Linked DNA regions of Bombyx mori. Each later gene encodes a partner of the first gene's protein in a complex. Links are inferred from orthologs where the notes say so. Each region holds a gene or a part of one and is shown in the gene's direction. Other genes may lie near its edges.

Region 1 (3,271 bases):
CGTTCAAATCGCAACGTATTACTGCTTCATCAAAGGTTAGCAATGCGGTGGTACCCACCACAAAACGCTGTACGACTATAGCTGCTTTCAGACTACGCTATACTTATAGTACCATATAGTACAGCAGCCTTTACTTGTCCATAACAATATATGGTGTGCGATATTGTTCTGCTATGAACTACATATATACTATATGCTTTTTAATACGCTTTTTATTAGCTTCAGACGTATGTATGTTTGTAACGGAATCTTTGAACATGATTTTGATCCCCTTCAAAACGTCGGATTAACTTGAAATTTGATATACTATTAAGGGCCGATGACAATACAAAATAAAAAAAAATTGAAAATTTTTAAATTCAACTAAAAACTGAAAAATAAATAATAGTTTAAAAAAACTATATTAACAAAATACGCTTTTATAGAAAATCCCACTAAAAAATAGGAAAATAAACTTTAATAAATTTGAATTAAAAATAATGTAAGAAAAAATGAGTTTTATTGTAAAAAAGCGTGGGGTGCATGGTATCAGTAGTTATAAATATTTTATGAACAGATATTAGTAGAAGGGTTATTTTGATAATATCCTAAAAAGCACTTCACGCTTTTTTTTTACAATAAAATCATTTTTTTTTGCACTATTTTTAATTCAAATTTATTGAAATTTATATTCTATTTTTTAGTTTTTTATTTATTATAGCGTAGTTTGAACGCGGCTTAATTAAAAACTGCAAACTTTTCAGGGCTTCGAAATCGACGTGTCAACGAACAAATCGTTTTCGAAATCGCTGAACGAGGCCGTGATACCGGAGCGGCCGTTCTTCAACACGCTGCTGCGCATAATGGCGACGCGCTGCATGCAGCAGGCCGCGTACTTCGTGAGCGGGAGCCTCGCCGCCGACCACTACTACCACTACGGACTGGCCTGTCCCATCTACACGCACTTCACCTCGCCCATACGGAGGTACGTAGCGGCTCTTGCCTTTAACACGTAGACTGCCGTGTAGGTCACCGGTGCCCTACGCGGCGCACTGAAGTTTTTTTTTATTGCTTTCATGAGCGGACGAGCTCACAGCCCACCTAGTGTTACGGCGTCAATGCGCCACCCACCTTGAGATATAAGTTCTAAGGCCTCAAGTATAGTTATAGCGGCTGGCCCACCCTTCAAACCGAAACGCATTGCTGCTTCACGGCAGAAATAGGGACCTACCCGCGCGGACTCACAAGAGGTCCTGCCACCAGTAAAATGTCGATTTCTCTCTTCGATTTTCTTATTAAGGCGCCGGAATATCTAATAGAACCTGAGAAAGACGAACCCGAACAATACTGAGAATGTATCGATTTCTAACAGACATATAAGACTAAAACGTAAATTAAGAGACAAATAAAAGCTAAGTTAGGTAATTCAGGTGCTTTAGTGACAGAAATCGACATTATTACTTCAGTGCACCGCTTAGGGCACCGGTGACCTACATGGCAACGACAACTTCAACCGTGGTGGGGAGGACCCTAAATCGTACCCTAAATCACCTCGTGTGGCATACGCACATTCGCCTTTCGCACCAACATGTCTATTCTGAGAGAGCTTCATATCAAAAGTAGACTTTCCACTATATGCTTTCGTACGGTGTTGGATTTCTTCGGACATATTGCTCGTAAAGAGGGTCACAATCTAGAATAGCAGATGGTGACAGGAAAGGTAGATGGCAAACGTCCCAGAGGACGCAGTCCCACGAGATGGTCGGACCAAATATGATCTTCTCTAAACATCAACTTCTACAATGCGCCCTTCATGAAGCTAAGGATCGCGGCAGATAGAGGAAAATCGTACGGGAGAAATTGATGCAGCGGGGGAATCACGACCCTCAGTAATCAGGAAACCTCAGGACCCTCAGGAAAACCACGCGAGGAGGTATAGGCAAATTGTAATTCGATTTGTATTGTTTACCCTAAACTCTAATGTCGCTTCGGGCGAGCTCAAGATTTAGGGACGATTATCCCCACCATCGCTGTCCCAATATCGCCACTGATTTTAGGGTCGTTTGTGGGCCGCATAAGTTGATAAAAATGTGTATGGTTAAGTATTCTGTCCGGGCGCGGTGTGCAGGTACGCGGACGTGGTGGTGCACCGGCTGCTGGCGGCGAGCGTGGCGGGGGCGGGCCCGCACGCCGCGCTGCTGGACGCGCGCCGCCAGGCCGCGCTCGCCGACACACTCAACTACCGGCACCGCCACGCGCAGCTCGCCGGCCGCGCCTCCGTGGCGCTCAACACTCACGTGCGTACACTCACGCCAACCACGATACCGATTCACTATCGAACAATACGATAATTCAGGCCGCGAATACAAAGTCACGATACGATACTGATTCACTGTCGAACAATACGATAATTCAGGCCGCGAATACAAAGTCACGATACGATACTGATTCACTATCGAACAATACGATAATTCAGGCCGCGTATACAGTCCCCGGCACGTAACTTGGGAAGAGTAGTTAGATGCATACAAGTCGTTTTTTAGATCTCTTTGGTTGTCAAGCGGGACGCGGGGAATGTCGTAGTACCGTTCCGAGCGCGCGATTGGTGAGTCAGACGACCCTCCACTCCCGCACCGCGTCTACGTTCCGTTCGCTCCCGATTACACTTGCGTGTGACAGTTTTTTGTTGAATTAAGTGCACTATGCGCGACCTAACCCTCACTAAGCCAAAACCTTGCCAACTTACGTGTCGGCAAGTATACAAAGTTATTGCTGAACAACGCATCTACAGATGATTCTAGAAACAATCACTTAAGACGTTAGTAGTAAACCTAGTAGTTTATATAGGTAAGCTTTTTTAATTAAAAATAAACATAAGGAATCAGAATTTAGTAATTTCCTTTAAGATTCCGTGTTCATTATTATATACTAATACTAGCTGACCCGGCAAACGTTGTCTTGCCATATATAAGATTTCTAGAGAATTTCTAGTGTAGAAAAAAAATTACTAACTTATTGGAAGTGTATAAGGATGTGCAATATGAGTGAAAAAGGCCTGGAGCGCTGTGAACGATGAGGGAATGTTGTTTAAAAATAACAAAACACCGAACATTAATTGTTTTAATTTATTAAAAGTAATAATTATATATATATATAATTAATTTATTACATAATATTAATCTCTTAATACTGCAGCGTGAACAATATTTTTTGTTAGCCCGTCTTTAGCTAATACAAACAAACTTGATGATTTACCCACTCGAGAGCATACAACGTATAATTGTCCGTGTGA
Region 2 (4,438 bases), on another chromosome or scaffold:
ATCAACGTACGCAAAGCAAAAATCGAGACCTTGGACAACTTCGTCTATAAATCTTTGAAACGTTTGGCCTGCGTTGCGCAGACCAAAAGTCATGTAATTAAATTCGTAGAGTCCGAAGAGTGTTATGATGGCGGTTTTACAGATATCCTCAGGCGCAACAGGAATTTGCTGATATGCCTTAACGAGGTCGATGGTACTAAATATACAACACCCAGATATGTTATGGCCAACGTCACCGATATGGCGAACTGGGTACCTGTCAGGTATGGTACGTGAATTCAACGCACGATAATCGCCGCAGGGTCGCCAGGTGCCGTCGCGCTTAGGGACCATATGAAGTGGAGAAGACCACGAACTTTTCGAAGGTCTGGCTGTCCCGCACTGTACCATATCATCAAAAACCTTTTTGGCCTCTTGAAGTTTTTGAGGTGCCAGACGTCTAGGACGACAAGAGACTGGGGCGCCCTCAGTGGTTAGAATATAATGAACTGTGTTATGCTTCGGCTCACGAATAAGTCCTGGTGGCTTCGTAATGGACGGAAATTCCGCAAGAAGTGCACTAAATTGGGATGACGGCGCGCAGACAACTTTGACGCTGGTCTGGTCTAAAACAGCGACGGCAGCAACGTATGACAACCCGGTAATGCTATCGACGAGTCTCTTACTGGCACAATCTGGCAACAACCGATAATGCGCCAGAAAATCGGAGCCGATGATGGCGGTGTTGACGTCAGCGATAATAAATCGCCATTGAAATGTGCGGCGTAACCCCAAATTAAGCGCCATTTCTATGTGACCAAAAGTGCGTATCTCACTACCATTGGCAGCCGCTAACGTATAGTTTGAACGTACCGGCTTATTTGCTAACCACTGGTATGGGTAACAGGAGAGGTCGGAGCCTGTGTCTATTAAAAAACGGCGCTTGGTTGCGCTTTCGGTGACAAATAATCGGCGACTCTCCTTTAAGCAGTCAGACGTCGCCATCATTGACTGCTTTTGTCGTTTTCCGAAGATGGCGGCGGCGTCCAGGTACATGGTTGAATACACTTAACAGCTTTAGTATTAAATTTCCTATGGTAAAAGCACATTTGAAGCTTACCAGGCGTTTGTGAGCGTCGTCGCTGGTTTGAGAAATCCCGGGTCCTATTTCTACCGCGCTCTGCAGTAAGCACAGCAAGCTGACGCGTGACCTCATCCAGACGCCGTGTGATATCTTCTAACGAAGGGGTTGAGACGGCAGACGTACTTGCTGAGAAAACAGCAGATGAATGAGGTGCGACCATACCAGGCGAAACTTCCAAAATTTTGTCCGCTAGCTCAGCGACTTTGTCCAGCGAGAGTTCTGATTGGGCGGCCAAAATTGCTTGGAGATGTTGTGGGAGGCGACGCATCCATAGCTGGCGAAGCAAATTTTCATCAGTGAGGGTTTTTCCTGCCAATGATCTAAGATAACGTAAAAACTGCGAAGGACGGCGGTCACCCAACTCAACATCACTGACAAGTTGCCTGACACGTTGCTCATTAAATTGGAAAAATCTTAGTAAATAACCACCATTTTACTGAGATTATATTTCATCCCATATCATCTCATTTCATTTAATTTCATCTCAGTTGATTAATGTCTCAAATTAATCATCTTCGTTTCATTTCATTTCATCTCACTCCATATTATCATTTTGCATAAAAATAATAATATAAATTAAAATAAGAAATGACTTAAAGGTCTTAGTTACCAGGTCACACTACCCTGAAAAAAAACACGATAACATAACCTACAAAATAAAGTTTAAAAAATAATTGAACGAAAATAATATATTTATTAGTCTTTATTCTTTAATAACCATAACGTCCATAACCAATCTCATGAATTATTAGAATCACCGCGAATTTTAAAAACGGAATCGACTATGATAATATAACATAGTAAAAAGCAAATATTTTTAACAAAACAATTCAACATATTGAACAATTCATTATTTTTTAATGTGTTTTTGTTAGAAGTTAAATAATGCCCGCTGCCGATCTACTCTCGAGTCAAGGACTACGTCTTGACGGGCGGAGACCCAATGAATTACGTCGGATAAGATGTAAACTTGGTGTATTCACCCAGCCTGATGGAAGTGCGTATCTCGAACAAGGAAACACGAAAGTGCTTGCAGCCGTGTATGGACCCCATCAGGTATATGATACAAACGATTTACAAATACTGATTAGTTTACCGTGGCAAAACGTCTGTAAATCTGCCTGAGTAAATAATCATCACTATCCCGCTACTTCTGCTACAAAATTGCACTATTTCTGCTACAAAAGTGTAATGCCTTCTGGCTTGAAGAATAAGACAGCTATTTTACAATATTGAAGTATCGACCCATGTGCCAAGGTCGCATTCACGTCTTGATGTGTTTCAGCTTTAGTAACCAAATTCTTACCAAGTAGCTGGTAAAAAATATGTATTTACACATTTTAGGTACTTCATTTTCGGACACGTTCTTCATAAATGAAAAACCTTCATTATAATTTAAAATGTTTTTCAGGCTTCAAAATCGAAGATGTCGACAGAAGCTGTAGTTGTCAACTGCCAATACAGTATGGCTACATTCTCAACAGGTACCCATTGAGAGTTCAACATATTTTCAAAAGCCTCTTCAAATAAATGAGATTATATATAGAGAAAAAAATCTGTATGAGCTTAATCGCACATTAAAAATACACAAGTTAATAACATCCGTGGATTTCCAATCAATCTTAGAATTAATTTCAGTGTGTACATTTATTTGTTCCTGCACATCATCAGACCTACTGAACCAGATACGTTTACTACGTACGTGTAGTTTTTTTTATGGTGGACAAAAATTTGTTTGTAACAGAATAAAGGTTTTGTTTTATTTTAATCAAAAGATGCAAAAAGTTTTCATCATTTAAAGTTTTATGGAATTTACTTAGTGCCATTATATGTTAGAAAATATACAGCAAATAATAACATGAAAATGAAAGAAACTCTACTATGGGAAATTAAATAGGATGCATTTTATCCTAGTGTTAAGCACAGTCAGCGGCAGGCAATAGCTCTGCCCCTGACATTGCTGAAGTCAATGGGCGACATTACTGTGTGGTTACCCACTCACCATCAAGTAGGCCGTATGCTCGTCTGCCTACAAGAGAATAAAAAAAATTCTCCACTCACATAATATAATATGTAATTTAGGTAAGCATATAGCTGGCAGATAGGCAGTTATATTATAAATGTTATACATTTGAAAACAATACAATTATGTATGTGATAAGCCTGCAGAAGTAGGTACTGTTATATGTTTACAATGAAGCAATCATGCTTTGCAGTTTCATAATACATTTGAGATTTTGACTGTCTCTCAAAATCGGTGGCATTATACACACTGCGATGTCTATGTATTCTACCCATTTAAAAGTTAAAACTAGGATATTCCCTCGTCAGTACAAAAAGAAACTAAGATAGACCCAAAGATATGAATATTCTTATCTACACAACTTATAAGGGTTATTATATATATATGCCTATTAGGCTACATAACTTATTATTTTTTTTTTTTTTATTGCTTAGATGTGTGGACGAGCTCACAGCCCACCTGATGTTAAGTGGTTACTGGAGCCCATAGACATCTACAACGTAAATGCGCCACACACCTTGAGATACAGTTTTAAGGTCTCAGTATAGTCACAACGGCTGCACCACCCTTCAAACCGAAACGCATTACTGCTTCACGGCAGAAATAGGCGGGGCGGTGGTACCTACCCGTGCGGACTCACAAGAGGTCCTACCACCAGTAATTACGCAAATTATAATTTTGCGGGTTTTTTTTATTACACGATGTTATTCCTTCACCGTGGAAGTCAATCGTGAACATTTGTTGATTACGTATTTCATTAGAAAAATTGGTACCCGCCTGCGGGATTCGAACACCGGTGCATCGCTTCAACACGAATGCACCGGACGTCTTATCCGTTAGGCCACGACGACTTCTAAACGACTTATTATCGAACATTTCGCATCTAGGTGAACGAAAGAACCGACCTCGCGGGGACCGCAAGTCACAAGAAATGTCAATGCATCTCCGACAAGCTCTAACTGCTGCTATTAAAACTGAAATGTATCCAAGGTCGCAAATAGATATATACATAGAAGTATTACAGGTAAAACATATAATTTTTTTTTTTTAAATCCTTATCGACGGATTATATGCTATTTGGGTTATACGACATTTCGTTTACTATGCGATATTTATCTTTCTAATTAAAGGTCGGTTTTATTTAGTATTAGTATCACCAATCCAATGTTTTTAATTGAACTTCAGTTAAGTTTACCGCATTCAAATAGCTGAAGAAGTTTTTGTTGTTGCGATATTTTTTTCAAATTTTAAACTTTAAATGGCTCTCCTGTAAAGTAACAAAAATGTCGCTT

What was found.
Region 2: exosome complex exonuclease RRP44 (region 1) and exosome complex component RRP41 share a complex: the UniProt entries of both Caenorhabditis elegans proteins name them as parts of the RNA exosome complex. The link is inferred for Bombyx mori from reciprocal best matches to the Caenorhabditis elegans genes dis-3 and exos-4.1.

Annotation. Positions count from the first base shown.
Region 1 is NC_085115.1:11,139,591-11,142,861, forward strand, and holds part of exosome complex exonuclease RRP44, read left to right. Parts: intron 1-743; coding exon 744-964; intron 965-2,107; coding exon 2,108-2,276; intron 2,277-3,271. UniProt on the Caenorhabditis elegans protein: Putative catalytic component of the RNA exosome complex which has 3'->5' exoribonuclease activity and participates in a multitude of cellular RNA processing and degradation events. Has both 3'-5' exonuclease and endonuclease activities.
Region 2 is NC_085134.1:3,235,553-3,239,990, reverse strand, and holds the start of exosome complex component RRP41, read left to right. Parts: upstream 1-1,588; 5' UTR 1,589-2,008; coding exon 2,009-2,179; intron 2,180-2,534; coding exon 2,535-2,607; intron 2,608-4,033; coding exon 4,034-4,170; intron 4,171-4,438. UniProt on the Caenorhabditis elegans protein: Non-catalytic component of the RNA exosome complex which has 3'->5' exoribonuclease activity and participates in a multitude of cellular RNA processing and degradation events.